Linked DNA regions of Caenorhabditis elegans. The protein of the gene in region 1 interacts with the protein of each later gene in a biochemical or structural test. Each region holds a gene or a part of one and is shown in the gene's direction. Other genes may lie near its edges.

Region 1 (16,309 bases):
CTTGATCTACGTTGATCTACAAAAAATGCGGGAAAAGAGACGCAGAGTTCTCAACATTTTTTTGAGCGAAAAATTCCCGCATTTTGTGTAGATCAAACCGTAATGGGACAGCCTGGCACCACGTGGGATTTTGTAGTGCGAAAATTTTATTTTTCAGAATTTCCACGGGGTTCTGCCCTTCCTCATTACATTTTTCGCGCTCCATTGACAATCGCCTGCCGGACAACGCGTGGAAAAGTGTCGTGTACTCCGCACGGACTAATACATTTGGCTTTACAACTGAAACCGAGCCGCGACGCGACACAGAACGCGCCGTAAATCTACCCCAGATATGGCCGAGCCAAAATGGCCTAGTTCGGCAAACTCTTCCATTTCAATTTATGTGGGAAGCCAGAAATTCGTGAATTTCGATAGCTCGGCATGCGGCACAACCGTATTCGGAAAATTTTTAAATTTCTGATTTTTTTAAACTTAGTAACCAATTTTTCAAAATTTCCGGCAACCCCGCCACCCCCATATCCCAAAATACCATCCAAAAAATGATAAAATTCCTCGAATTTCCAACGATCGTAGATCACACATTTTTCGCCAAATAACCTCCAAAAAATCACTGAACGGCCGAGAATAAAATGGGCGGAGTCTCTGGGGATTACTGTAGTTTTGGGTGTGGCACTTTGAGAGAGACGCAGACAATTTTATCATAATTGGAGGGGGAGGAAATGGAACGGAGATTTTTTGGGTGTGGTCACGGAGGATTTGACCTACCGAAATGAGTTTGCCACGTGGTAACTGGTCTTGAACACAAATGATATGTTATGTATATTTTTGGTTTTAAAAATTGAAAACCTTGAAGTTAAAAATATTATGTATAACATTTTTAAAAACAGTTTTTTAAAAATATTTTTTTTGAAATTTGCTGTTTTCTCTTTTCAAACATAATTAATTTAATTTTTAAAATTGAGCTCGCCGAGAGCTTTCAAATGACCCCCAACACGACTATGCTCCGCTCTCTTTGGGTCCCACCACGAAAACCCCTGGGGGTACTGTAGTTCTCGCGGTGGGACCCAAAGTGGGCGGAACCTAGGCATGATGGGGGTCATTCGAAAGGTCTCGGTGAGTTAAATTTGAATTTCAAGTTTTCAAACAAAAATAATTGAAAGTCCGTCAATTATTAAGAAAATTTAGAAAATGAAAAAATTGATCTTTGCTTTCAATCATTCAGTTTCATTAGCTAATAAATTATTTTTAGTGTCTTAGTATCCATCATTTCATCACCATTTTTCTTCTTATCTTTATCACTGATTAGCCGTGATAATAAATCACTGAATCCTTCGCGATTTTATGCAATTTTTTTTAAAGTTTCAGTTTTTTTCGCTAAAAAATATGTGTTATTTTGCTATTTTGAATTTTAAAAATTGAAAATTCGTGTTTGTCACGCTGAGAGCTTTCAAATAACACCCATCATGACTAGGTTCCGCCGACTTTGAGTCCCACCACGAAAACTACAGTACTCCCGAGGGTTTTCGTAGTGGGACCCAAAGACGGCGGAACCTAGTCATGATGGGTGTCATTTGAAAGCTCTCAATGTGCTGAACACAGAATTTACAATAATTTTAATATCAGAACCATGACTTTCGAAATTGGATCCAAAAAGTTGTAAACTCTCTTGAATGTACCATGTTTTGTGTCCATTCCAAGAATCCGAACACAGACTACAACAAGTCCATTAGTTGAGAGGGTAAAAAAAAACAAATAAACACAGAAAACGGTTTGTTTGTCATGCTCTTGTCGCTTATCATCTCCCTTATCACTAAAAGTTTCGCTTTTTTTTTGTGTCTTTTTCGCAAAACATTTGGGAGCATTTTTGCTTGGGAAATTCCATAGATTTCAAATTTGCTCCGAATTTATTCAATTTTTTTTTTGCTTGAAATTAAAATTTGTCCACTTTTTCCTCTAGCATCTTCAAAAAGGCATAACTTTGAAGGGAAACGTTCTATCAAAAAGTTTTTAACTAGCAAAAAATAGCCCTTAAAATTCTCTACAGTTTGTTAGTTAAAAGTTTTTTGATATCTCCACGCCCCGCTGAGATATGCGCGTTCAAAGTTTTAGATGTCGATAGAGTGTGGGAGGGGGAGAGATGCAGGCAGCGCGCGCACGCTGCGTCTCTCCCCCTCCCACACTATTTTGCCCCTTTTACTTTAAAAGATTATATCTCTGCGGAGAGAAGAGCTATCAAAAAGTTTTTAACTGAGGAATTGTGGAGAATTTTAATGGCTTTATTTTGTTAGTGATCAACTTTTGAAAAGTTGGTAAAGATCTCTAAAATGTTGAACTTTTGCATTTTTGTGCTGAAAAGGCCATAAAAACTACCAACTGATAAAACATTGCAAAATTTTTCTGCCTGTACTGCTCCAAATTCCATGTGACCAGGCACCACCTGTCACACACAAGAAATTCCATTTTTCTATGCTTGCTTCTTAAGTCATTAAAACACCGAAAAAATAAAACGGGGTAATAAACCGTTTCTCTGCGTTTCTCTTTACCGTCAAATTGGGGTGAATCGTAATCAGCAATGAACCTTCATTTAATACCTTAAGAATGGGAAGGAATTCCAGACATTTGACGTGTTAAGCATCAGTTCCTTCGAAAAAATGGATTTATCTCAACAACTACTTAGTAAATCAAAAATTTGCTAACTAATAAAATGTAGCCCTTAAAATTCTCTGCATTTTCTCAGTTGAAAATAGTTTTCTATCTCGTCTCTCAACTGAGATATCTTCAAAAAAGCATAACTCTGCAGGGAAACATTCTATCAAAAAGTTTTTAACTACTAAAATATAGCCCTTAAAATTCTCTACATTTTCTCAGTTAAAAATATTTTTCTAACTTGTCTCTCAGCAGAGATATCTGCGTTTAAAGTCCGGGCGTGGTAGAGAGAATGAGAGGGGGAGAGACGCAGGCGGCGCGCGCACACTGCGTCTCCCCTCCACCTCCACTATCTCGCTTGCACATCTTCGAAATGGCATAACTCTGAAAGGAAAAGAGCTAAGAAAAATTTTCAACTATTAAAATAGGAGAAATTTCAATGGCTATATTTTTGCTGTACACTATTTTTTTCAATTTTCGTATTTTGCACTTGAGCTTGAACTTTAATTGAAAATTCTATGAAAAATAAAACAAAAAACGGCCCAATTTTAAGATACTTATCTCATTTGACCTAAATTTGAAATTTCCCTTTCCGCATATACCCGGAATTATCAATTTTTTACGATCTCTCGCCAAGGGTTTTTGGGCGTTTTCTCTTTTACGCAAAATGGGAACGTCAGCGAATTTTTGGAATTAGGACAGAAAATGAGTATGTAATTATTAAAAAAATATTCTAAAACCGGATTATTTTGAAAATGAGTAGAATTTTGGAAAAGCGCAGGTTCTCAAAACGTTCAATTTTTTTCTGAGTTAATTTTAAACGCGTACATCTCGGTCGAAAAGAGAGATACAGTAAAATTTCCAACTAACAAAATATAACCCTTAAAATTTTCTATATTTTGGGAGTCAAAAAAAAAACTTTTTGATATCTCTTCTCCCCGCAGAGATATAACCCTTTAAAGTTCACAGGAGCTAAATAGTGTGGGAGAGGGAGAGACGCAGTGTGCGCGCTTAGCCTGCGTCTCTCCCCCTCCCACACTGTCTCGCCCTTTCAAACTTATATTGCGCATATCTCAGCGGGGAGGAAGGCTATCAAAACATTTTCAACTAACAAAATATGGGAAATTTTAAGGACTATATTTTCTGAATTAAAAAATTTTGATAGCAAACGTTTTTTCCGGAGATATAGGATATTTGTAAAAGAAAAAAGGTTTTTTTTGCAAACCTAAAAGGCTTAGCCACACCCTTAGACCTTCTAAACCACCAGTCATTTTTCTTTTTCCTCTCCAGAAGGAAAAGAAGAAACCGCATCATCATCATCATCATCATCATTAGATCTTTCTTGTTCCCGTGCCCTCTACCACACCCTTGTCTCTCTGCTTCTCTGCACTCTCTCAAGTGACAGTCTCTTTGTGTGTGTGTGTGTTTGTATGGCCTGCTTGGCTCCGCCTATTTTGCACGGGAAACAGCAGACGGCGGCGGCCCGCGGGGAGACGCCCTGTTCTTCTCCCCCCACCACCATCCATCTAAGAAACAGTGTGTGGTATGTATTTTCGTTTTTTCTCTCATTCTGTGTCTTTCACTTTGCCCTTCATTGGAATTTTTGAGATTTCCTGGAAATCCACTTGAAACATTTTTTGAAATTGTTTTTTCTCAAAAACTATTTGAAAATTCCAAAATTTGCTAACCTTCAAAATGTAGCCCTTAAAATTATCTACAAATTATCAGTTGAAAGTATTTTTCTAGCTCTTCTCTCAACAGAGATATCCAAGTTTAAAGGTAACAGGTGTTAGAGTGGGAGGGGGAGAGACGCAGGCGGCGCGCGCACGCTGCGTCTCCCCTCACCCTACGCTCTCTCGCATGATATCTTCAAAGTGGCGTAACTCCGCGGAAAAATGAGCTAGATAACTTTTTTAAAAACCAACTTATAGGAAACTTTTAGGACTATTGATTTGCGTAGGCCATAAATATTAAAGTTTTTGCTCTCTCTTTTGTCTGTGGCCGTATCATTTTTCGAAAAATAGCTTCATTGTATCCAAAAGTTTAAAAGTTATAAAATTTTAGTCTTCAATTTTTTTTTGCATAGCTAGTTTCGAGATATTGCAAAATTTTACGAAAAAGTTCCAATTTTTTTTCAAAATTTCAAAATTTCAATGTTTTCCTCTTAATTTTTATAGTACACAAAACTAATATTACATTTTTTTTTCCAATTTTTACTAATCACATGACACCCCCACTATGTCTTATGATATTCCCGTAACTGCTGACATTTTTTGAAGTCCACAGTACAAAAGGTTGTGAAATTTTTCGAATTTTATTTTCATATCTTTGACCTTAAAAACATTTTAATTTGAGTTTCTCGATTTTGCGGAACACTAGAACTAAATTTCCCGTCGCTGTCACCGAGATAAAGACTCATTTCGATGCGGTTCATCAATTTTTACCCATTTTCCGCCTTTTTTACATAAAGAAGGCATTTTAAACACGCTGAGGCCAGTGTAGATGAGATATCAAACATAAGAAAAAAAGTTACCACAGTGGGGACTCGAACCCAGGTGTTGTGGGTGGTAGTCATCTCTGTTATCCACCAGGCCAAAAGTTCAACTATTATTTTTTAAATTTTCAAGTTTCGACACATTTTTAGTCTGTAAACAATGTGTAAAAAACCGAAAAAAAAAACGTCGACCACAGTGGGGGTCGAACCCCGGTGTTGAGATTACCAATCACCAGTGTTATCCACTAAGCCAAAAATTCAATGTTTCAAATGTTTTTCAAAATGATTCAAAAATAGCTGATATGGTTGTCAAATTAACGGAAATTTTATTGGGAACTCGAATTTTTATATGAAAATTCCGGAAAATCACTAGTTTTTATTTTCACAAATTTTATTTTAACAAATCCCGCCGAAATTTAGTGTAACTATCGATTAATTTGGAAGATTGTTCTTATATAGTTCAGTTCCTTTTTCATTTCTCTCTCTTCTTTTTTCATCTTTTTCTTGTTTCTTCTGTGCGTCTCAAACTAACTGTCACATCACATTTACAATCGACGTGTAGTTAGTTCTGTCTCATTAATACTTCTAGTTTTTTCAACTATTTTCACTTTCTATTCTCACTCTGTAAAATCGATTCGTTTTTGCTGAAAATTGTTTTTTTTTAATTTTGAAAATTTCAAAGTAAAAAATTAAAAAAAAACCAAATTTCAGTCCGCTACGGTTTGAACTAAATGTTGTTAATAAAAATCTCTGACATACCAAAAAAAAATTGGAAAAAAGTTTTGACCCCAGCGGGGGTTCGAACCCCGGTGTTGTGAGTCCCACCCATCCGTGTTAACCACAAGGCCAAAAATTTAATTTTTTTGAAAAAATCGATATGGGTCTCAAATTGACGGAAATTTCGTGGAAAACCCGAATTTTTATGTAAATATTTCTGAAAATCGATATTTTTCGGGAAATGAACTAAAATCTCGATTTTTTTTTGTGAATTTTCATTTTCAAAGTCAAAGCGTCTACCATGTCAATTTTCAAAGCATAAACAATGCAAACAAAACTCGACAAAAATTTTGACCCCATCGGGGATTCGAGCCCCGGCCTTGTGAGTCCCAGCCAACTCTGTTAGCCACTAGGCCAAAAACTCGAAATTGTTTTTTTCCAATTTTGCAAAAACGAAAAATGATAGATTTTTATTGATTTTTAGAGATTTTTCAAGAAATTCCTCTGATTTTCTAATCAAAAATCATAAATGTCACATGACACGTTCTCCTGTTCCCGTTCTCAGCTGACAATTCATTTTCCCTACCATTTTTTTTTCGGCCGATTCTGTGTATCTCTGCGTTTCTGTCTATTTCTTCATTTTCTTATTCCTTTATCAAGTTTTTTGTTTCGGTTTTTATCTTTTTTTTTTGTTTCGGCTGTGTGTTGAGGAGGCGATGCATTACCCTCGAAAATGTAAAAGACTACGCCTTTTTTGGAAATTTTTGTTGGGGTTTTTAGGGAAAAATCACTTTAAAAAATTTTTTTCATAGATTGAAAACCAAACTTAAAATCGAAATCTTCAAAAATGAGCAAAAGATCGAAAAGCAAAAAATTGAAATTTTTTTCAAAATTTTTTTTTTCAAATTTTTTCAAAAAATAATTATTTCAAAATTTTCTCAAATTTAGATTTTCTTATGTACTTTTTCACAATTTACCCATTTCCCCTCTAAAAAATCTATAAAAATATCGATTTTTGCAGATGTTTGGGCCGGAAGGCTCCGGGTCACTCAGCTCCTCATCAAGTACACTACAATTCAATTCCACGTCATCCACGATGACGTCATCATCGATAAATGCCACGTCATCACGGGAACCATTAATACACATTCCTAATAAACCATCATTATCAATTGATCCATTGGCGCGGGCGGATAGATCAGTACATTTGTCACCGTCTTTTTTTCAACCAGGTGAGAGATGTTTTTTTATTTAATACCATCACTGAAAATATGTTTTCCTGATAGAATAAATTTTGTTGTGTTTGCCATAGAAAAAATTAAGTGAAAATCTTAATTTTTCGCTGAGTTATCGAATTTCGAAAAATTACAAAAAATTTTCAATAAAAATGTGTCCCACCACGAAAACTATGACTTTCTAGCCCGAAATTTAAAAATAATCAGATTTAAAATTTCACGAGCTTTCAGAAAAGTATAATCATGGCTATGTTTCGAAAATTTCGAAATTTCCCCGGGAGTACTGTAGTTTTCGTGGTGGGACCTAAAATTGACGGAGCCTAGGCATGATGGGTGTCATTTGAAAGTTCTCAGTGTGCTAAGTTCAAATTTAACAGTTTTGAAGTTTCAAGTTCAAGCTGTGCCTTAAAAGTTTTGATTTTTTGAAATTTTTCGAAATTTTTCGAAAATCGATAACTCTGCGAGTTTTTAAGATATTTGAACTATTCCAATTTCAAAATGTGCAGAAAACGTTGAATTTTTTTGCAAAAATATAACCAAAAATCTTCAAATTTTCAGGCCTCTCCTCAATTTCATCTGAAAACGACGATGCTGAACAGCGGATACATGAAGCAACAAGAAGCTTTAATCAATTCGGACATCAATTTTACGAATCAATTCGGGAACTTTCCGAGAGCACAAGTGCCTACGAAAGGCTGAAGGCCAACGCGTTGAGGAGGAAGCTAGAAAATGTTCGTTTTTTTTTGAGATACAGCTATCTTGGTTATATTATGTTAGGCCTATGCACCTTTAAACTTTGATTTTCGTGGCGGGACCCGGAAATTAAATTTTTTTAAGACTCCCTCTCAAAACCTAGTCATGATTATACTTAAATGAAAGCTCTCACCCAGCTGAATTTGATTTTCATATTTTCAAGGTCCCACAACGAAAAACCACCAAAATTTCAAAGCTACAGTAGTCACATGTCCTTTAACCCTCTTATCTCTCAGTCTCTTTGTCACTCTCAATTTTCCCGCCTTTTTGGGTGTGGTTACCGTCTTTTCTTGATGTCGGCGGCGGCGACCGTCTTGTTTCGCAAGAAAAAGAAAAATGAGAGTGAGAGAGTGAGAGAGTACGCAGAGAAAGAGAGTAGGGAGAACATTGGGCGTTGGCGCCTCTCTTTCTATCTACCGAAACACATACATAAAGTGAGAGAGAGAGAGAGAGTGATTGATAAGATTGAGAGAGCGCTGAGAAAATAGAGAAAATCTAGACCGGATTGTTCATCTTCCTACGAAAGACTAATTAATCGATATTAGAATGGAACAGATTTCACAAAAAAAACTTTTATTAACCGCAAAATTTCGAAAAAAGACCAAGAAATAGATAAACATAAGCCTAAGCCTAAGCCTAAGCCTAAGGCTGAGGTTAAGCCTAATCCTAGGCTAAAGCGTATGCATAAGCCAAAGCCTAAGTGTAAGCTTAAGCAGGAGCTTAAGTCTCAGCCTAAGTCTAAACCGAAGCCTAAGCCTAAGCCGAAGCCTAAGCCTAAGCCGAAGTTGACTCCAAAGCCTAAGCCTAAGCCTGAGCTCAAGCCTAAGCATAAAAATCAGATTTAAATATGGAAAAATTGAAAAATCCTTTAAAAATGTGTTTTTTTTGCAGACATTTGGAAATGATAGCGGAGCAGCAACAAGTTCAAGTTCTTCATCGGTTTTCGAAAGACAATCGGACTTTTCTGCATTTGCACCATATAAAAATTCACATTTTGACTCAACTCAGAGCCTTTTCCAACCGACAACTTCATTTAATGACCGTCTGGAACAGATCAAAAGTGATTTTATTGCAGAGCATCAGAGTGGGTTTTATTTTTGATTGAAAAATCTGAATTCAGCGTTTTGAGAGCTTTAATTTAAGTATAATCATGCCAAGGTTTGAAAATTTTGAAAATTTCTTGGGTCTTGCCACGAAAAAGATCTGGGGTACTGTAGGTACAGTTTCCAGGCTGCGAAAAGTATTTTTGTCTGAAAGAACAATTTCTGTTGTGTTTGTCAAACAAAAAATCTTATGTAAATCTCAATTTTTCGCTGAGTTATCGATTTTCGAAAATTGTCGAAAATTTGCCCACAATTTTGGGTGCCACCACGAAAACTATCAGTATTTCTCACAAGTTTTCAAACTATTCGAATTGTAAATTTTACGTGCTTTCAGAAAAATATATATAATCATGACTAGGTTTGGAAAATTTTGGGTCCCACCACGAAAATTCCCCGGGAGTACTGTAGTTTTCGTGGTTGGACCTAAAATTGACGCAGCCTAGGCATGATGGGTGTCATTTGAAAGCTCTCAACGTGCTGAGTTCGAATTTAATTGTTTTGAAGTTTTAAGTTCAATCTCTGCGTTAAAATTTAAAGGTTTTCGATTTTAAATTTTTCGAAATTTTTCGAAAATCGATAACTCTGCCAGTTTTCAAGATATCGGAACCATTCCCATTTCAAAATGTGCAGAAGAAATCATATTCTTCTGCAAAAATTAAAAACTCAACTAAATTTATCACCTAAAAAAAAGAAAACGCCTAAAGAAAATTTCTTATCAGGGACACCCCTGCAAAACACCCTCCGAATTTGTAAAAATTGTCATATATTTTTCAGAGTCAATGTCGTCATTTTCCGGATTCAACACACCGACGACAGCTCTCGGAGCAGCTTTTCAGGGCATGCAAGTCAAGAAAAGTTTGTGATTTTTTTTCAATTTTCAATTTTTTAAACTTTCTAACTAATTTTTTTTTGAAAATTATAGAAAAAATTGAATTTGTCGTGCAAAGAGCTTTTGAATAACACCCATCATGACTAGGTTCCAGTGAGTTTAAATTTTAAAGCACCTATGTGCCTTTAAATTTTGATTTTCGTGGCGGGACCCGGAAGTGCAGGCTTAGAGGTCACTGACAAATATTTCATCTGTTCATTTAAAATTTTATTAGCATTCACGATGCCTAAAACTTTATATTGATCTTCAATTTTCAACTTGTTGGGTCCCGGCACGAAAATCTAAATTTAAAGGCGCATAGGGTTTGAAAATTTCAAACTTAACCTAACCTAGCCAAGATGGGTGTTATTTTGAAGCTCTCAGTGTGCTGAATTCATATTTTTAGTTTAAAGTGTATTGTATGACAAGAAATGAGAGATACTGTAGTTTTTGTGGTGGGACCCGGAAATTTATTGAAAAGTTCAAAATCGTCAGAACCTAGTCATGATTATACTTAAATGAAAGCTCTTGGCTAGCTTGATTCAAATTTTCAAAGTAAAAATCATTTTCAGGTGCGTTCGCTCCAGTCCTGCTTCGAGAAAATCTGGATACCCGGCGCCCCGGGGGCCATTTGATTTCCGACATTCTGAATCGAGACCCGCTTCCACAATCTCGAAATCTTAACCTGAATATGGCTAGAAATGTCCCAATTCGGCTGATTCATTCGACTTCAAATTTCGATATCGCTTCCTCGAGCTCCGGAGATTCAGGCCATCAGGATCATGAGAGTATTGTTGTGGAGGATGCTGACATGGATAGTCCGACAAGTCCGTGTGTCAAAAGATCCGCAATGAATTTTGATTTAAGAGGTAAGGTTTTGAAATTGCGGAAAATTTTTTTTTTAATTCTGGAAAAAAAATTTTCCACAAAATTTTTTTTCAAAATTTTTTCTTCAAAATTAAAAAAAGTCGTCAAACTTCACAATTTAACTATTCTCGGCTCGTCAAGATCCTTCAAATGACACCGATCTTGCCTTGGCCCCGCCCACTTTGGGTCTCACCGCGAGAACCAGAATTTAAAGGCGCATAGGGTTAAAAATTTAAAAATATGCCGAACCTAGGCATGATGGGTGTTATTTTGAAGCTCTTGATGAGTTGAGAGCGATAAAAACAAAATTAAGGTAAAAAATATTTTTTTAGTTCAAAAATAATTTTTCGAAAAATAACCTTTTTTCGCGTTCATCACATCAAGAGCTTTCGAATGACCCCCATGATGTCTAGGCTCTGCCCATTTTGGGTCCCACCACGAAAACTACAGTACTCCTGGGGAATTTTCGTGGTGGGACCCAACATGGGGAGAACCTAGCATGATGGGGGTCACTTGAAAGGTCTTAACAAGCTGACTACAATAAAATATCCAAAACTTGAAAACAAGATAATTATAATACCAATTTTGTGCTGAAAAAAATTTTCTCCAAAATATTTTTTTTCAAAATATTTTTTTGAAAAATCAAAACTTCAAATGTTTTTTAATTTTTAGACGAACCTCTCACAGTGAACGTAGAAAGTGTGTCATCAACATCAGACCTTCCCAGCTCAGTATCCAGCTCTGTGAACTCCTTCGTCTACCAAAACTTTGACCCCTTGGAGTTTAAGCGAAAAATAGACGAACTGACGGCTTCAGCGTGTCTAGCTGTAATGCCAGACGCAAATGGTCAAGTCGATCCGATGGCCATCAAAACTCAGTTGGATGCTATCAAAAAACAAATGGAAGAGCATCAAACCCACATGGCAGAAGCCTCGCAAAGACTCCACGTGGACTCTTCCCTCGAGGATTCAAATTGCGAGCCGAGCCCGAGCTCATCATATGATGCTTCTGAACCATCTGTCAAGAGGCTTCACCATTGCACACATCCGAATTGCGGGAAAGTCTACACGAAAAGCTCACATTTGAAGGCTCATTTTAGAACTCATACAGGTAATACTTTGTTAATTGTACTGAACAAAATATTTTCTAGATTGAAAAAGCAATCATTACACCCAGAAAAAACCAAAAACATGCAGAAAGAATCGAACTTGGGACCTTCTGGGTCTCAGTCATCTCTCTTACCTATTGCGCCACCAGCGCCGTCGCGCCCAGCAACTGGCGCGGCACGCAGTGCGCGCGTGGCGCAGTCGGTAAGATGTCAGACTATGACCCAGAAGGTCACAGGTTCGATTCTTTGTCGAAGGATATAGGTTTTTCTGGATGAAAAGTTTGAAAATTTCAGTTTTAAATCTTGATAACTTCTCTTTAAAGTTGTTTTTAGAAATTTTTTGATGAAAAAAATCATTTTTCAGGTGAAAAACCATACGAATGCAGTTGGGACGGGTGTGATTGGCGATTTGCTAGATCTGACGAGCTAACAAGGCACTATAGGAAACATACAGGTAATTTTTGAGTGAATTAAAGGCGCATACACCTAAAAATTTTCAAATTTTCCCAAACCTAGTCATGATTATACTTAAATGAAAGCTCTCGTCGAGCTCTATTTAAATTATGCACTGCAATGCTAAGAAAAACAAAAATAATTGTTTTTTTCAGGAGACCGCCCATTCAAGTGCTCTCAATGTTCACGTGCCTTCTCCCGAAGTGATCATCTCTCACTCCATATGAAACGCCACTTCTAATCAAAAAAAACATGGTGCAACAGATTAACTAATTACGGGTTCCCAAAATGTATTTCTCAACTTTTTATCCGGTCATTACATTTTTTTTGGAAAATTTTTGAAAAAAGTTTTTTTTTTCAAAAATTTTCAAACTTCCCGCCAGTCACGTCTCAACATCGTGACGTCATTTTTACAGTTTTTTGAATGTTTTCTTGCTCAAAAAATGCTTGGTATCATCACTAAATACGGTCATATTAATTTTTGTCACATTTCACTTTCCCCCCCCCCCCCCACGTGGAAATCAATAAATACATATCGATTTTTTTTTCTGTGTTTTTTTTTTTGATTTTTCAGAGATTAGTAATTTGAAAAAAAACCAAATTGGAAAGGTTTTGAGCCTTTCAAAATTATTCAAAAATAATTTTTGGAAAAAATTTTTTGAAATTTTTTTTTTGAAAATTTCATTATACTTACTATTAAATTATTATTTTCATGTTTTCATATTCACAAAATGAAGAATTCCAGTTTTTTCTAAAATTTTAGATTAGATTTTCAACTATTTGGAAAAGTTGAAAATTGAAAATTTTCGAAAAAAAGCTGGTTTTTTTTTTTGAAATGTTTGTCTTGGAAAATTTGTTCTATTTAGTTTTTATAATACATTAAGTTGAAAAATTATTTTATTTGACAATTAATAACCATTTTGGCAATTTTTCAAAAAAAAAATTCAAAAAGAAAATTTCCAAAAAAAAATATTCTTCGAATTTTTTAAATTTTTTTGAAAAAACTTCACTAATATAAAATACCCCTCACAATAGTTTTTTTCCAAATAAAAAACCTCTCTCCATCACTTCCTGCGTCTCTTCTCCCTCTACCCAAATGTTGATCTTTCTCTGTCTGCGTCTCTCCCCCTCTCCTCTTTTTTCCCCATTTTTCCTGAAGAAATTTTCCGTTTTTGCTTGTTTTTCAAAGAAAACTTATATTAGAAAACGTAATAAAATATTACACACCCGTAGAAAAATAAGACTGACGAATGTATAATAATTCAAGTTTTTCATCAATTTCTACCATTTTTCGTAGATTTTTCCAGAAACTTTTCTTGATTTTTTTTCACAAATCTCTTCCTGTCTGCGTCTCTTATTACACTTTATCCTGTTTTTCTACAAGTGGCTCAAAGAGTGGGAGGATTAGAGCGAAAATTGATTTTTTTTTCAAGATATGGATGAACTTTCGCGAATAAATTTTCTCAGATATTTTAATTTTCCGCCAAAATATTTTTAATCAAAAAATTTGTATTTCCCGCCGAAATATTTTTAATCAAACAATTTAAATCTCCCGCCAAAATTTTTTTTAACCGGAAAATTTAGATTTCCCGCCAAAATTTTTTTAATACGAAAATTTGAATTTCCCGCCTAAACTTATGTATCAGAAAATTTGAATTTCCCGCCTAAATTTATAAATCAGAAAACTTGAATTTCCCGCCACATAGTTTTCATACAAAAATGTTGAATTTCCCGCCAAAACGTTTCCAACCTGAAAATTTGAATTTCCCGCCAAAACTTTTTAAATAAAAAAAATCGAATTTCCCGCCAAATCTTTTTTATTTGAAAATTTGAATTTCCCGCCTAAATTTATAAATCAGAAAACTTGAATTTCCCGCCACATAGTTTTCATACAAAAATGTTGAATTTCCCGCCAAAACTTTTTAAATAAAAAAAATCGAATTTCCCGCCAAATCTTTTTTATTTGAAAATTTGAATTTCCCGCCTAAACTTTTTTATCTGAAAATTTGAATTTCCCGCCAAATCCTTATTTTCACAGAAAATGTTAACTTCTCGCCAAAATTTTTTTAATACTAAAATTTGAATTTCCCGCTACAATTTTTCTAAGATTTTTCAGCAAAATGCACACCCAATATTTTCCGAATCGGCGCCCTGGCCGTATCCAGCCCCTTGGAATCCAACAAAACACCATCTATGTCTACGTAAAAGTGAAACATGTTCTGGAATTCTACGCAATTGACATTCGTCTACCGTATCATTGGCATCAAATTGCAAAACTAAATATTAGTGAGATGTCCTACACATTTTCCACATTATCACCGGATTTTCGGTACATCTATGTGCTCTTTTTGAGAGTGGCGCGAGAAATGGCAACGTTTGCTGTGCAAAGATTCGATTTGGAGAATAATGGAACAGCGGATTTGTTTCTGTAAGTTTTCATGTAAAAGAGCATTTAATTTAGACAATTTTGCTAGTTGGAAGTTTTTTGATAGCTCTTTTCCTAACAAAGTTATGGAGAATTGAAGTTCAGGTGGTGCGCGCGATGAGAAAAAGTGTGGGAGGAGGGGAGACGCAGATCACTTCACTGTCTCGTTGTCTGCGTCTCCCCCTCTCTCCTAAAAGTTTAAACGCTTGTATCTCCAGAACGGGAAGAGATATCAAAATACTTCCACCTAGAAAAATGATCAGAATTTAATACTCTATCTAGTCAACTACATGATTTTCAGCCTCAACGCAGCTGAAGAGCTCTACCGTGTATTTGAAGTGCCACTGGACAGTGTGACGCTCAGATGTGACTCAGGCGGACAGCTTGTTCTCTACGACAGATCCATTGTCCAAGGAGAAATTCCATTTTGGACGATACGGTTGGAAGAATCTACAAAAACATTTCGAATCTTGAAAAATTCAATTCCAACGGCAGGAGATGACACCGAACGGAACAGTGCACTTTTTACAATTGCAGTGGATCCAGTGAATCGGTGTTTCGCTAAATTAATGGTATCTAACTTATAAGAATATAAATTTCTAACTAATTTCAATTTAAAACCAGTTCAGAGCCCCCGAACTATGCTGGTGTACACCGAAGAACGAAAACGCTGGGTGGAATACCATATTCCTGTCGAACAATCCCTCCAGGACATTTTCGGATCGGATGGGTTTCCTGTGGAGGAAATACGTGGCATCCGAGAGACTTTTGGAACTCACGGACATCGTATGGGTGCACTGCAAACTCGGTTGACGTTTCATGATTTGAATGATGTATTGGTGGCGAGATGTTTGCATTTACATTGGAATACGACAGCTACTGTCGAGTTTGGTGGGTTATATCTTGTGAACTATGCGAGATATGGAGAAATTGTCAACTACAAAAGTGTAGAACACAAAATTTGGAGCATTTTGTTAGTTGAAAATTTTTTTGATTTTGATAGCTCCAGCTGTTGCAAAGTTACAGGGGTTAAAAGATTGTAGGGTGCACGCGCGCGGAGAGAGTAGGGAAGGAGGGGAGACGCAGACTGTCTCGTCGTCTGCGTCTCCTTCCTCACCATCTAATTTTTGAACGCGTATATCTTCATAACGATTAAAGATATTTAAAAAATTCCAATTACAAAAATTTTCAGAATTTAAAATTTTACACGATAAAGTAGTTATTTTTGTTAATAATAATAGAAAAATAAACGGGCCCGTTTTAAAGCTGAGATAATATCTAAATATTGATTTTGTTTAATTAATGTTATAAAACAGAAATTTCTGTACATTTTGTCAGTTGAAAATTTTTTGATAGCTCCAGCCGTTGCAAAGTTACAGGGGTTAGAAGATTGTAGGGTGCACATAGAGAGTAGAGGAGGAGGGGAGACGCAGACTGTCTCGTCGTCTGCGTCTCCTTCCTCACCCTCTAATTTTTGAACGCGTATATCTTCATAACGATTAAAGATATTTAAAAATTCCAATTACACAAATGTTCAGAATTTAATATTCTACACGATAAACTAGTTATATTTGTTTAAAAAAAAACAACTGTGTAGTTTTAAAACTGAAATAATATCTAAAATTTAATTTTGTTTGATT
Region 2 (15,817 bases), on another chromosome or scaffold:
CCTCAAAAACATGAAAATCCAATCTAGAATAAGTAGTAATGGGTATATTCTAAGATTGTGCAAAAGTTAGCTTGAATTTCCTCGATTAAAGCTTTCCTACCAAGAAAAATGTGTGGATATTTTGAATTTACAAGTTTTTCATCTTTTTTTTGTAATATTCTCTTTGAAACTCCTGTTTCTCTCAAATTTGTAAACTTTCATAAACGTTTTTTTCAGGGTTACCACATTAAACAATGACCGGAAGCACCGAAACTCGCCAGAAGGAAGTCAAGGAGGTTGGTTGTTCAAAGTGACGTCTAAAATATTTAAATTTCTATATTTCAGCCACAAGTTGACGTTTCGGATGATTCCGACAACGAGGCCGTCGAGCAAGAGCTCACCGAGGAGCAAAGACGTGTGGCCGAGGCTGCTGGACTTGGAGATCACATCGACAAGCAGGCCAAGCAAAGCCGCTCCGAGAAGAAGGCCCGCAAGCTCTTCTCCAAGCTCGGACTCAAGCAAGTGACTGGTGTCTCCCGTGTCTGCATTCGCAAGTCGAAGAACATCCTCTTCGTCATAAACAAGCCAGACGTGTTCAAGAGCCCAGGATCTGACACCTACATCATCTTCGGAGAAGCCAAGATCGAGGATCTCACCCAACACGCCCAGATGTCTGCTATTGAGAACTTGAAGCCAACTCGTGAGGCCCCACAACTCAAGACTGTCGAAGAGGACGAGAATGAGGATGTTGAGGTAATTCAGTAACTTAATCGGATTTATTACATTAATTGTACGGTTTAAGGAGGATTCCACCGGCATTGAGGAGAAGGACATCGAGCTTGTCATTTCCCAAGCCAACACCACCCGCAACAAGGCCATCAGGGCGCTTAAGGAAGCTGACAATGACATCGTCAATGCCATCATGAGCCTTACCATGTAGCTTGTTTCCTGATGACCTTGCAGATACTCTTGTTATCGTTGTATCTCTTGCTTATCCCGTTTTCCGTTCCAAGTAAACGTTTATCAGTCTTTTTTAACTTTTTTGTTATGTTTAAAAAACAATTGCATCTTCGAATTGACCTACCTTTTACAGAAAAGAACAATTAAATCACTGTTTGTGTAAAACACCCCTCTATTGATCGAGAACTTTCACTTCTTCCAATTCTTTACTCGTATGACTGTGATTCATTTCACCTGCTATCACTTTATCATGACATTCCAGTTTATATCAACAGCAAATACCAATTGTGTGTATGTGAAAAATGCTATTGAATAGCAAGCGCGCCCCAACAAACACGTTTGAATGCGCGGGCGAAACGGCGTTAGATGTGCAGGTCATATGACAAAACGCATCGACCAGCAGCCAATGGCAAGTTACTGCGAGCTGTTATAGATTTTTTCACATGGTTTCCAGTGTTATCAGTTGGAAATCGATCGATAATACTGACTAGTAGTACTTAACATCTTCATTCCCACCGTTTCGCTGTCATTTGTGATACGTGGATTTATTTTTCCTTTCTCGCCGACTTTTCATTTCTAAATCTTTTCTGGAATTGCGAAATTTTCAGCCAGTTTCATGATCGAATGGCTCGTAATGAACCATCATCTCAGCAGCCGAGTAGTTCCGGGAGTAATGGAACTCCAGCACAACAAAACGGGTCGGCAAAACCATCAAAAGTCACAGTAAAAGGTAACAATTCGTAGATTTTTTGCATCTGTTCTAATAATATTTCCCCCTCTTAATCATAGTCGTCAACGCGTCGTTCACCAAGGCAGCCGACTGCTATGTCGAAATCACGAGTGACACGTCATCGGCGGCGCCAAAAAAGACGACTGTAAAGAAGAAGACGATGGCGCCCGAGTGGAATGAACATCTCAACGTTCATGCAAATGAATCTTCGACAATTTCGTTTCGTCTATTGCAAAAAGCCAAGCTATTCGATGACACGTGTCTAGGGATGGCGAAGCTGAAGCTTTCGAGTCTCACAAGAAATGAGAATGGAGAGTGTAAGTGGTTTTATTGAAATTTTCTCAAAAAATCTATTATTTCAGTCAAAAACGACATCAACAATATATCTTTGCTGGCCAAAGACTCCTCGAAAATCGGAACTCTCAACATAATTTTCTCCGGATATCCAGAGCGGAAACGAAGAAGCGCAGGAGTACGAGCTGAAACCGCCGCGTCTGCAAGTTCAGAGGCATCCACGTCAAATGGCGTTGCCACGTCATCCTCGGCGCGGAGACCGGCGACAGCGAAGCGTGACACTTTGGCGGCTCCAACGGTAATCGTGACGAGACCCATTTTGAATTATTTAATTATTCATGAAACGCTCTACTGGAGTGTTCATAATTATTAGAGCGCGCTCGCGCGGCACCTCACGAACTCCAGAATTCGCGAGGACAGCAGTTTTTGGCTATTTTGGCTTCTATGGAAATTATTTTTAATTTTTTGATTTAAAATATTGTTGAGAAGCATCATCCAAATTGAAAATGTGTAAAATTATGAAATTTGACCGAAAACTGAAGGTTTTACAGAGAGGAGTCACCACGGCTTTCTTTAAAAAGTATCAGTACCGTCAGTATTTCGATTTCAGAGTCGTAAAATATGTCATTTTGTAGAGAAACGTCTGTTTCACAAAAATCCATGTTTGATATTTTAATTGTTTAATTTCTAATATAAAAATATTCAAAAAATCAACAAGTTTACGTTAAAATCGAATTTTTCAATCGTTCAGTTTTTAATAAGAACAATTTCATAATTTCAAACATGGATTTTTTTGAAACAGACTTTTCTCTACAAAATGACATATTTTACGACTCTGAAATCGAAAAAACTGACGGTACTGATACATTTTAAAGAAAGTCGTGGTGACTCCTCTCTGTAAACCTTCAGTTTTCGTTAAAAATAATTTCCATAGAAGCCAAAAATAGCCAAAAACTGCTGTCCCCGCGAAACGAAATCCCGCGAATTCTGGAGTTCGTGAGGTGCCGCGCGAGCGCGCTCTAATAATTATGAACACTAGAGGAGAGCGTGAATGAGCGTTTTTTATTCTTTTCTCTGCATTTTTAATGCTACAGAATCATACACAAAATGTTGTCAAATACATGCATTACTCTACTACTCTTAATGTTTACTTTTCATTTGCAGAGTACCGCAGCGGCGGCAGCAGCAGCAACAGCAGGCGGCACCCCGGCCGCCGGAGCAGAAGAACAGCTTCCCGATGGATGGGAGATGCGTTTCGATCAATACGGACGCAAGTACTACGTGGATCACACCACCAAGAGCACCACGTGGGAACGCCCGTCTACTCAGCCATTGCCACAGGGATGGGAAATGCGAAGAGATCCGAGAGGAAGAGTGAGTTTTCCGGCGGAAAAAGCAGATTTAGCACGAGAAAAGCGTTTCTGATTATATTTTTGATGCGAAAATCATCAAAATTAAAAATATCTACCGTAGCCGCGGATACCTGGACCAAAATGCCGAAAAAAGTGACCTGATAAATTATTTTAAGGCTAAAATCTTGATTTTTACATAATTAGTGTCTTATTTTTGTTGATTTCTTGTCAAATTTTTGTAATTGCATCGAAATAGGCCAAAAATAAAGTAAAAATCAACTTCCAACACAGAAAAACTGACAAAATTGAAGATTTTTGCTGAATTCAGGCAATTTTTCGTAATTTTGATCCTCCATAATTTTTTTTTTCGAGAAAATTTTGAAATTTTTTCTTTAAATACGGCCTGAAAATTAGGAAATTATAACGACGGATAAAAAATTCTGATTTTCTTTATTTTAACCAAGGTCTCCAATTATTTGATAATCGAAAAAAAAAAAACTTTCCAGTGATTTTTACTTGAAAAATGTCTAAAAATTCACGCCAGGTGCACAATCCATTTTCAGGTGTATTACGTGGATCACAACACGCGCACGACCACCTGGCAACGACCGACAGCCGATATGCTTGAAGCACACGAACAATGGCAATCGGGAAGAGATCAGGCGATGCTTCAATGGGAACAACGTTTCCTTCTCCAGCAGAACAACTTTAGCGCCGACGATCCACTCGGACCATTGCCCGAAGGATGGGAGAAGCGTCAGGATCCGAATACGTCGAGAATGTACTTTGTGAATCATGTAAATAGAACGACACAATGGGAAGATCCGAGAACACAGGGGTATGTGAAAATTTTCAATTTTCCAATAATATTTCTATCAAAAATCACAGTTTTAATGTTTTAAAAGTTTCAGAGGCTCCGACCAACCTCTTCCGGATGGTTGGGAAATGCGATTCACCGAGCAAGGCGTTCCATTCTTCATCGATCACCAGTCTAAAACCACCACCTATAATGATCCAAGAACCGGAAAACCCGTCGGCCCGCTCGGCGTCGTCGGTGTTCAAATGGCCATGGAGAAGAGTTTCCGGTGGAAAATTGCACAATTCAGATATTTATGCTTGGTAAGGGAGGGCGAGAAATTCTTTGATTTTAGCTATAAATTGATGTAAATTTCAGTCAAACAGTGTGCCTAATCATGTCAAAATCACAGTATCCCGTAATAACGTGTTCGAAGACTCATTCCAAGAAATTATGCGTAAAAATGCAGTCGATCTACGCCGGCGGCTGTACATTCAATTCCGAGGCGAAGAGGGTCTCGACTATGGAGGTGTCGCCAGAGAATGGTTCTTCCTGCTGTCGCACGAAGTGTTGAATCCAATGTATTGCCTATTCATGTATGCTGGTAATAACAATTATAGTCTTCAAATCAATCCAGCTTCATTTGTTAACCCGGATCATCTTAAGTATTTCGAGTATATTGGACGATTCATTGCCATGGTGAGTGTTTTTTTTTAATTGAAAATCAGTTGAAAATTGGATGAAAAATTGCGAAATCGAGAGAAAATCGAGTTTTCCGCTTTTTACAATTGAATTTTAAAATTTTAAACGTTAAATTTTGCAGAAAATTCCAAAAAAAAGCACTTGGATCTAAAATTTTTGTTTTTTGATGAAGGAAATCCTTAAATATCGATTTTTTTTATTTTCAGCTCAAAAAACCTGGAAATTTCGATGATCTCAAATTTTCAGATCAATATATTTCATTTTCTCCTAAAAATGTTATTTTTATTTAAACAAATAGTTTTTCTTAGAAAATTCCTTTATTTTCAAATTTCCAGGCGCTATTCCACGGGAAATTCATCTACAGCGGTTTCACGATGCCATTCTACAAAAAGATGCTCAACAAGAAGATTGTTTTAAAGGACATTGAACAAGTCGATTCGGAAATTTATAATTCATTGATGTGGATCAAGGATAACAATATCGATGAATGCGATATGGAGCTCTATTTTGTTGCCGATTACGAGCTGCTCGGCGAGCTCAAGACTTATGAGCTTAAGGAGGGCGGTACAGAGATTGCTGTTACCGAGGAGAATAAGGTGAGATTTTGGATTAGCTAGAGCTTATAAAAATAATTTTTAAATAAAATAATTTAATTTAAAAAATCCCAATTTTCCAGCTTGAATACATCGAACTGCTCGTTGAGTGGCGCTTCAATCGCGGTGTCGAACAACAGACAAAAGCCTTCTTCACCGGCTTCAACTCGGTCTTCCCGTTGGAATGGATGCAGTATTTCGATGAAAGAGAGCTCGAGCTGTTGCTCTGCGGAATGCAGGACGTTGATGTGGACGATTGGCAGAGAAATACTGTCTACAGACATTATGCTCCACAGAGCAAGCAGGTAGGGGAGAACATTTGATTAAAACTTCTTTTTTTTTAATTAAAAAATACATTTATAGGTAACCTGGTTCTGGCAATGGGTTCGAAGTCTGGACCAAGAAAAACGTGCCCGGCTCCTACAATTCGTCACAGGAACGTGCCGTGTGCCAGTCGGTGGATTTTCCGAGCTGATGGGCTCGACGGGACCACAACTATTCTGTATCGAGCGTGTCGGCAAGGAGAACTGGCTCCCACGGTCGCATACGTGCTTCAATCGACTCGACTTGCCGCCATACAGAAGCTACGATCAGCTCGTCGAGAAGTTGAGCATGGCGATCGAGATGACGGAAGGATTTGGAAACGAGTAGTCTCCCGTTGTTTTTTTTTGGTTTTGCTGGCCGCCTAATTATTGTATAACCCTCATATTTCTTCTCACCCACACCCCATTGATTTTCCTTTTTTTTCTCTCCATCAATTAATGTTTCTTTTTTTCGAATTTGTGTGATAATTTTCGTGTTGTGATACCACTTGCTTAGGTTCTCTCTCTCTCTTTCCTTTCCTTCTGGGTATGTACCTATATTTAGAATATAGACAAAGCATCTAGTTTTTTTGGATTTAATTTCCAAATTTCCCGTTTAATTCCAACAACAAAAAAACAATTCCACCACTTTTCAAATATTTTTTTTGTGTCCATTGCTTCATTGCTTTTCTTCTTCTCAACCATTTCAACCACCACCACCCAATCTGCGCCTTATTCTTACTTGGTCCTTGTCATTCTTAGTTCCAGTTTTTTTCACGGAAGCAGCTCTCGATTATTAATTCAAATGCATCCCCCCAACCAATCCGTCACCCCCCGATTAGAACAATTTCTACTTTTTTTTTTGAAAACAAAAAAAAACACAATTCCTCGATTTGGTTGTAATGAATTTAATTTTTTAAATTTTGAGCCTTTTTTGTTGTTTTAGGTTTTCTTAACTTTCAGAATTTCCATGCGGAACACACGGAGAGCAGAAGATCAATATTTTGAACCCTGCAGGAGAAGGACGGGACCCTTTGGTCACTCATGTCTCGGCTGTCTGCGTCTCTCCTCTCTCTCTGCACCAGCGGAGAGGATGGATAGCCTCATTCGTTTTATTTCGGACTTTCGATTTTTCTTATTGCTCCACGTTTTAGCTTTTATCAGATTCGGGGAGCTCTTGCTTTTTTCTTGATTTTTTCGTAAAGTGTTCTTGGGTCCCGCAGCGAAAATTAACTTTAAAATGATTTTTTAAAAACTTTCTAAAAATTCATTTTTTTTTCCATTTTACGACTAGAAATTTCGAAATTTGAAAAAAAAAACCGTGTTGCAAATGCGCTCCAGCGTACAAAACAAAACCGCCACCAAAAAATTTAAATTACTGAAAAAAACGATGAAATTTTGAATTTGTTTTGCCATTTTCCGGCAATGATTTTTTAAATAAAAAAAACTGTACAACAAATGCGCTCCAGCGAACTAACCTTCAAATTACCGAAAAAAATTATAAAAATTTGAATATTTCCGATTAACCCAAGAAAAGAAAAATTCAATGATTTTCTTGAAAAAAGTTATTTTTTTCTCAATTTTTCGTCAATAATACTCAAAATTTGAAGAAAAATTGTGTAGCAAGCGCGCTCTAGCGAACCAAACAAAATGTCTCCATTGAAGCGTTTCACGAGGTTCTGGCCTACCTCATTGAATTTTTCGCGCTCCATTGACAATCGCCCGCCGATAACGCGTGGGAAAGTCGTGTACTCCACACGGACAAATACATTTAGTTTTACTACAAATATCGAGCCGCGACGCGACACGCAACGCGCCGTAAATCTACCCCAGATATGGCCGAGCCAAAATGGCCTAGTTCGGCAAAAACTCTTCCATTTCAATTCATGAGGGAAGCCAGAAATCCGTGATCCAAGTAAAAAAAATCCCAAAAATTTCAATTTGCAAGGGCGCTCCATTGAAAACTGTGGCGCCGATCGCAACTCACGGTCGAATTTGAATTTTTAGTTGAAAAAAAAACACCAATTTGAACTGAAAATTTGAATTTTCAATTTTTTCCCTAAAATAAATTGTTCAGAGTTTCGCTGTCGAATTGTTGATACCCGCTCGTCAGAATTGGAAATTGAGAAATTGAGAGAGAATTAGAGAAGGAGAGGAAGAGGAACTGCTCACTGGTCCCCTCACTCCATCCGAAATTAGGCACTTTTTGCTCCGGCGGCACTAGAAGACGAAGAAAAAACGACGAGCAGAACACAATCAATTTCGTCTTCTTTTTTATTTTTTTTTGGTTTTTTCTTGTTGGTACCACGGATTTCTGGCTTCCCTCATAAATTGAAATGGAAGAGTTTTTGCCGAAATAGGCCATTTTGGCTCGGCCATATCTGGGGTAGACTAACGGCGCGTTGCGTGTCGCGTCGCGGCTCGATTTTAGTTGTAAAACTAAATGTGATTTGTCCGTGTGGAGTACACGACTTTCCCACGCGTTGTCCGGCGGCCGATTGTCAAAGGAGCGCGAAAAATTAAATGAGGAAGGCCAGAACCCCGTGGTAAAACATGGTGCATCAACGCAAAAATTTTTCATTTTTTGGAAAAACTCAATTGTTTTTTTTTCGCGTCGGGACCACCAAACCAGAGCTCGTTTACTAAATTGAATTTCCAAAAAAAAAAAAATTTCGCTCTGTTCAAAATTCGAAATTCAGTTTTCTTTCCCTAAAACCTAATAAAATGATCTTGGCACAATGCTCACTGTGAGCTTTGGGTCTAGAACGATGGCCTAGAAATGTTGAGATTTCCTCTTCCAGCGCCCTTGCCAATATGACCTAGAAATTTCAAATTAGTATAACTCGGCCATTTTCCATCCGTTTTCGCCAAAACTACACCATTATAACATTTAAAACTTACTTTTCAATATGATGATAATACTTTTCCAGTGGAAGAGTTTTCCGCATTTCTAAGCCACCAAAACCTCTCCTCCCGACGTTTTATCAAACAAATGATATCACTGTGATTTGTGTTGTAAGTTGCGCGCATGATTGCACTTGCGCAATTAATTAAGACAATTACTCAAAATTTTGATCGAATTAACCCCATGTACATATAAAATACAAGATTTTTGTGTATTGTTCTTCAAAGTTTTTTGTCGTATTTATATAGAAGCAGTGTACACCTAAATTTGGCTTATTACGACCTTTTTTTCCAAGGAAAATACTCATTTTTAGGGTTATAAACCCCTTGATTGATACGTGGCCTAGAAAACTGCAAGCGCTTTTTCCTGGAAGTTTTAGGCCACCAGTTAGAGTCTTGCAAAGACGGACTAGTTCTCACATGACCCAGAAAGTCTTAGTCCATCACGTATTTCTTACGACGCCTAGAAATGCAAATCTTCGGCCACCAATTTTCATAGACATTCTAGGCCACCCTTTTTGACGTGGCCTAGAATCTTTAACAAAATTTGTAATGAAAATCCTAGGCCACCATTCAGTTAGCTCTCATTTTTGATACTTCGCCTAGATTTTTAACACGTGGCCTAGATTTCTATTTTAACACGGGGCTTAGATTTTTATTTTAACAAGTGGCCTAGGTTTTTGCTACTAGGCCTAGATTTTTTACATGTGACCTAGATTTTTATTATAGCACCTGACCTAGATTGTTGGCATTTGGCCTAGATTTCTGTCATGTGACCTAGATTTTTTAATGCACCAAAAATTCTCCATACAAATTTAACTCCTACACTCTAATTTGTAATCAGAACCTTCGATAAGAAGAACATGGAGCTACTGCGGTGCTCAAATTCCGAACAAAAAACGGCTGAAAAACTGAGGTATACGTGGTTTTTTTTCGAAACTGATAAAAGTCAGCATAAATCACGATAAACTGAACGTCCTTTGGCCAAGTTTAGAGAAACCTAGGCCACGGGTAGTGGTGGCCGAATTTTAAAAAAACTGGGCCACGAGGTTTACGTGGTGTCAAATTGCCCCATTTTGGTTTGATCTTCGAAAAATGCGGGAGACGAGACGCAGACTTTTCAACTGATTTCGCATGGTTAAGAACGTGCTGATGTCATTTTTTTCCGTGGAAAAATTCCCGCATTTTTTGTATATCAAACCACAACGAGACACTCTAACACCACCGTCCGGCCGTTCAAACGAAAATTTAGGCCACGGCCACTAGGGTGAAGTGGAATGCCCTACCCTTCTCTACAAAATTCATTGGAGAAACCTAGGCCATGCTCAAAGAAACAGTGGCCGAGAAAGGAAAAACTAGGCCGCGTTCGCTTTGTACCTCTCTTATAAAACACTGTCTGTTAGTTCATAAATCAGAGTCTGCCCCCTATCACTACTCTCTCATTTACCTGCCCCTCTTAACAAACAATCAACCCCCCCCCCCCCTCTAAATCGACTACTTGTTCCCCGTTGTACCTGTCTGCGTCTAGCTATTTCTGTTAAATTTTTGGAACGAAAAAGTGGTATGTGAATGTACGAAACAAAAATAATAATCAATTGAATACAATTTTTGCCCCCCCCCCCCCCCCCCCTCCACCCCGCTTGCCTGTCTCTAACCGGTTTCCCCTTTTTCACCTCAATCAGCCCCCCCCCCCCCCCCCCCCCCCCAATTTCATTTGACTGTACATTTTCCTTTACCTATCTGCGTATCTACACAATTTTTGTATTTTTTCCTTTTATTTTTCTAATTATAAACCCTGCAATTTGCAAGAAAAAATCTCTAAAACGCTTGGCCCCTTACCCGGAGTGCGACCGTGGCCTAGAAATTTATATTTCTTATAAGACCCCCCGGCTCTTCCAATTTTTCATTTTTTTTCTTTGAAAGCCTAAATTTTCATTTTTTCTTAGAGATCAATATATTATGGGTTAGTAAAAAATTTCAAAAACAAGCTCCCCGTGGGCGTGGAAGAGTTTTCCAAATTTCTAGGCCATACTTTTCGAAGGCGTTGGGGTACGCTCGCACCCTAGTACTAAAAATTGTAAATTATAAAATTATCATAAAATTGGCTCAAAGCATTTGAAAATAATAAAAAAAATTTTAGAAAAAAAAACACGAAAAAAACCCCTATTTTGAACATGGTTCATCGACCGGGACCTATATACTTTGAAAGCTTATATCTCGCTTCATGTTTGTTTTATCAAAAATTTTTCAACCAACAAAGTGTTTATTATTTCTTTTTCTATATTTTTGTAATTAAAAACTTTTTGATAGCTTCAAAAGTAACTGAGATACATGTTGTCAAACAGAGCAAACTTATAGCTTAGCCCAATTATTTATTTTTTGCTGTGTAACATTTCTTGTATAAACTTTTAAAGTTTACGGTTTTTTTAAATTTCTAAAAAAAATTATTGACACTTTAAAGGGAGGTCATGTGGAGATAGCCTGTACAAATAAAACTGATGAACTAGGACGAACCGAAATTCATAAACCATTATTTACACAGGTGATTCTTGCCTTTTTTGGAGGGTTAAAAAGGTTAAAAATTATTTAAAGCTTGGAATGAGCATTTGTGCGGCCGAGTTTTTATTTTCTAGGCCATAATTTTTAAAACAATGGCCTAGAAGCACAAATTTCTAAGTAATTTGAATTTCCCGCCAAAAATTTTTTTTTCCATAAAATTTAAATTTCCCGTCGAAAATTTTTTTCGGAAAATTTGTATTTCCCGCCAAAAGATTTTTTGTCTCAAAAAATTTGAATTTCCCGCCAAAATGTTTTCTCAGAAAATTTAAATTTCCCGCCAAAATATTTTTTGTCTCAAAAAATTTGAATTTCCCACCAAAAATTTTATCCCAAATTTTATCGAACATTTGGTGGCCGAATTTCCATTTTCTAGGCCACCCTCAGTTAAATCGTCAAATAAGTTGACCTAATTAAATTAAAAATTAACAATTTGTAATGTCTCCGACCAAAGTTTCATAATTGTATAGATCATCATGGTGGGAGGCGGGGTAGCACTTATGAGTGAACTTACCGGTTGACCGCCCGTCTATACATAGTAGCCAACACCCGACCATTTTCTGCCAAATACCTATAATATCGCTTCGAGACCCAACTATTGCACAGTTGTGGTTTATTTCGGTTGAAGACCCAATATTAATTTACCTACAGCTGCTAAAGCGTTTTAAGACCTAAAAAATTAAGCAAGGCCCAAAAATCCAAACTTAATACTATAGTACTTCTCGTTTCGAGACCCAAAATCCAAAGCTAGGCCATATTCTTGGTGAGACCCACCTGTAATAAATATCACTTGAGTGAAAGTGAACTCTTACTTTTTTCTTTCGACAGCCAAAAAAAATTGAGTCAATTAGCAAATAATTCACGTCTCCCCCTTTCAATGTTTACATACACATTACGAACGAGAAAAAAAAACGAGAGAAAAATTGAGTGAAATGGAATCAAAATGTGTTCATTTTTACTTTTTATGAAAATTTGGATAAGCACATGGCGTCAGAGTGTCCCATTTCGGCTTGATCTACGTAGATCTACAAAAAATGCGGGTGAAGAGACGCAGAGTTTTCAACTGATTTCGCTTTTTTTTGGGCGAAAATTTCCGCATTTCTTGTAGATCAAACCGCAACAGTGGATAAGCGCGCTCTATCGACAAACCCGGTGTGTACTACTCGCGGACAACCAGTATAGTTTTTTTTTTGAATTTTTGTTCGAAATTGAAATTGAAATAAGATGCCAAATTTAAATTTAAAAAATAACAATTTTTGAAATTAAATTTTTAAAAAAATTCCCCGTAAATCTACACTTAGTCGCGTAAATCGACAAGGCTATTTTTTTCAATTTTTGCCCATCGCACTTTTTTTGCCCAATCAATCATCGTCAATTGATCCATTGATCTTCTTCTTCTTCTCTTTCTCTTTTCTCACCACCGAAAATTTCATTTTATTTTTTGACACTGTCTGCGTCTCTCTGTACCCCCTATCTCTCGCCTCTCAAGGACTATTACAACGAAAAATTTGGGGAGAAGCCGTGATTTTCATTTTAATTTTGATGAAAAATTTTAATGAAAATGAAAAAAAAAATTGTTTTTCAAAAAACAATCCCCTCGTAAATCCACACCAAATTCAATATTCACCTTATTACAAATTGATTATTTTTCCCAAAAAACACACGACATCGGGCGCCCATCTATTGTTTTTTATTCCAAAAAATTTCTGCAACTGTCTGGGTCTCCGGTTAACACTGAGAAACAACAAATTTCATTTTTCGATTCATTACATTCATTTTGAAGGTTTTTGGTTACAAATTCGACACGGATTTCTGGCTTCCCTCATAAATTGAAATGGAAGAGTTTGCTGAACTAGGCCAACTTGGCTCGGCCATATTTGGCATAGATTTACGGCGCGTTGCGTGCCGCGTCGCGCCTCGATTTTAGTTGTAAAACTAAATGTGAAGTGTCCGTGTGGAGTACACGACTTTCCCACGCGTTGCCCGGTGAGAGATTATCAATGGAGCGCGAAAAATTCAATGAGGTAGGTCAGAACCCCTTGAAAATTGAGAAAAAAAAATCTCACAACGATACTCCGCAAAGTGTGCGTGTTGTTTATTAAATGATAAATTCAAAAGCAAATAGCGATTTTGTTTCAAAAATATGCCGAAAAAAAAGAAAAAAAATTAAAACAAAAGTTCAGCCACCAATTTTATTTCTCGGCCATGGTTGTGTCGTTGTTTATTTTTTTGCGATCGTATTTTTTCTATAATAAGACTTAAAATGAAAAAACATTAATAAAAATCAGTTTTCCATGGCCACTGTCAAAAGTCGCAACGACACTCCCCTTCCAGGCTCCTCCCCCCCGCGTGTATTTTAGCATGTAGTGTAAATTACGCGATTTTGTGTATAAAACCCTAATTTTTTAGAAGATTTGAGAAAAAAAACTTTTAAAAAATGGGAAAAAATCCCCTTTCCCTTTTTTGAAATACTTTCCGACAAAGTTTAGCCAAAAGTCCAAAAAAAACCAATATGGCCTAGAAAAAATCAAAAACTCGGCCATCCAAAAAACTAGGCTACACGTTCTTTCGACCTCTGCTCCCCACACCTATGCTGCCCATATCAAATGTCTCCCGGACCCCTCATTCCGTCACACATTTCTCAAAAAAATGTCTCTTTTTCTCAAATTCTCTGTCGAAAATCCCATATCTCTTCAGTGTTCAGAACTGACTGTTTTATTTCAATTCTCATGATCTCATGTCTCCCGTATGACTCATTCCTTCGATATATTTTTCTTTTTTCAAAAATCATTTTTCCTATATATAGACTTTGTTCGGTGGGAATTTCTCATTTCAAAATATTTATTGAGGTCGCTTGTTCCCTTTTTATATGGTCGTGGCCTAGGTTTCTAAAACTCGGCTACCATTTCCAAGTTGTAGCTTCGAGCTCTTTGTCTCGGAGTAGAAAAAATTCACGAAATAAATAAAAGTTCACGTGGCCGTGGCCTAGATTTCCAAAACTCGGCCACCAATTTTTTTTCTCTTATCAGTAAACCACGTAGAACTCCTTTTTTTCTAGCCATTTTTTAACTGAATTTCCAACATATTCGGTGGCTCCATCAATTTTACTGATAGTAATTTCCAATAAAAAAAGGTATTTCTGTCGATAGGAACCCATTTTCATCTACTTTTTGTTTCTACTTTATGGGTTTTGCCACTTTCCCGCATGCCTACGTGCCTACCTATCTGCCGACCTAATATACCTCGTAGGCAGACCTCGGCCGCCTTGTGGTGAGATGCCAGTCGCTTTGTAGGCAGGCGTAGTTTGTCTTGCTGGTATGAGTAGGCCTGTCAGCCGCCCAGTAGGCAAGCGTAGGCATGATGCAGGCGTAGCAGGCTTCTTAACTAGGCATCGGCTGCCTTGTAAGCCGGCGCAGGTAAGTGAAGGTTTCTTCGTGGCTGGCATCCTTGCAGTCAGGCACAAGTCGTCGGCTTGAAGGCAGGCAGATGCCGCCTAGTAGGCAGGCATATTTTACTTATAGGCAGGTATTAATGATCCTCTAGGCTTGCGTTGGTCGGTTTGTAAGCTGTCGTAGGCTGCCTTGTAGGCAAATTGAACTCTCAAACCAAACAACACAAAAATTCCAATATTTTTTGTACCTTCTGATTTTGATCTCTGACTCATGATCTCTTTATCAATCTCATATCTTCCATTTTTAGAAATAAACAATTTTTCCCTTCTATTCATTGACTTTAATCCCTTTCAATATTCATTCAATACACCTATAATACGAAAAACTCTTATCTTTTTTCATTTTATCACACATGGTGCATAATATTATAGTTAGTGGCTATTGAAAAAGCACATCATTTTATCACTTTTTGTCACTTTTCCACGATTCTCAACGTCTTTTTTTTAAACACAAAACGTTTCCCGTCATTTTCTACAGTACTCCCGCATTTTCATTTTCCAGGTGAGACCTGAGATGGAGGGCGACGAGTTGGTTCATCGTCCGACGGTCCTCTCGACGACGGCTTCTGCCACGTCACGGCCGCGACACAAGACTTTTGAGCTGTTGGGTCCGGTGAATAATATCTCGTTGGCTGATATGTATAAAGTGTGCGGGAAGATAATTGGCAGGTTCCCGATTGCATTTATTATTGCGACGGTGATCATGTGCAGTGGTGGATGTTAGTTTTTTTTGACGTAAAAAATACAGTTTGAGAAAATCTTTTTTTAGATCAAAAAAGAAGAAAAATATGGAAAAAACAACATTAAAATATTTTTTAGAAATCAAAAAATGTAAAAACTGTATGATTTTACTTAGGGCCTCCATGGTAGACAGGCACGGTTTTAGGGCCTGACGCCTGCCTGAAACCCACGTGGAGTCAGAAAGTCCCATTTCGCTTTGATCTTCAAAAAATGCGGGAGAAGAGACGCAGATATCTCATCTATTTCGCATGGTTAAGAGCGTGCTGACGTCACAATTTTTCTGGAAAAATAATCCCGCATTTTTCGTAGATCAAACCGCAATGAGACAGCCTGACACTATTAAGCCGCAAAGGCAAAAGTGTTTGCCGTCTGAATTTTGAAACAAAAGGTTTAACCGGTGAAAATTGAAAAAAAGTATAATAATAATAATAATAAAAGTAGAACTATTTTCAGTATA

Evidence for each region.
Region 2: of the proteins of klf-1 (region 1) and wwp-1, one has a biochemical effect on the other in vitro, tested with the Caenorhabditis elegans proteins (one study listed by BioGRID).

The regions. Positions count from the first base shown.
Region 1 is NC_003281.10:2,867,940-2,884,248, forward strand, and holds klf-1 (Kruppel-like factor 1), read left to right. Parts: upstream 1-6,878; 5' UTR 6,879-6,953; coding exon 6,954-7,089; intron 7,090-7,650; coding exon 7,651-7,823; intron 7,824-8,736; coding exon 8,737-8,929; intron 8,930-9,722; coding exon 9,723-9,803; intron 9,804-10,388; coding exon 10,389-10,685; intron 10,686-11,355; coding exon 11,356-11,793; intron 11,794-11,975; exon of another isoform or gene 11,976-12,049; intron 12,050-12,155; coding exon 12,156-12,245; intron 12,246-12,392; exon of another isoform or gene 12,393-12,399; coding exon 12,400-12,485; 3' UTR 12,486-12,737; downstream 12,738-16,309. Other genes in the region: F56F11.2 (BTB domain-containing protein), read left to right, coding at 14,365-14,672, 14,971-15,241, 15,299-15,560. UniProt on the Caenorhabditis elegans protein: Transcription factor which modulates genes involved in lipid metabolism and the phase I detoxification pathway, including cytochrome P450 oxidases.
Region 2 is NC_003279.8:535,575-551,391, forward strand, and holds wwp-1 (E3 ubiquitin-protein ligase wwp-1), read left to right. Parts: upstream 1-1,547; 5' UTR 1,548-1,563; coding exon 1,564-1,669; intron 1,670-1,728; coding exon 1,729-1,986; intron 1,987-2,031; coding exon 2,032-2,261; intron 2,262-3,127; coding exon 3,128-3,337; intron 3,338-3,511; exon of another isoform or gene 3,512-3,668; intron 3,669-3,878; coding exon 3,879-4,153; intron 4,154-4,220; coding exon 4,221-4,434; intron 4,435-4,489; coding exon 4,490-4,810; intron 4,811-5,148; coding exon 5,149-5,409; intron 5,410-5,489; coding exon 5,490-5,711; intron 5,712-5,769; coding exon 5,770-6,057; 3' UTR 6,058-6,624; downstream 6,625-15,817. Other genes in the region: icd-2 (Nascent polypeptide-associated complex subunit alpha), read left to right, coding at 234-275, 325-732, 782-919; ptr-21 (SSD domain-containing protein), read left to right, coding at 15,134-15,338. UniProt on the Caenorhabditis elegans protein: E3 ubiquitin-protein ligase which accepts ubiquitin from an E2 ubiquitin-conjugating enzyme in the form of a thioester and then directly transfers the ubiquitin to targeted substrates. Ubiquitinates klf-1.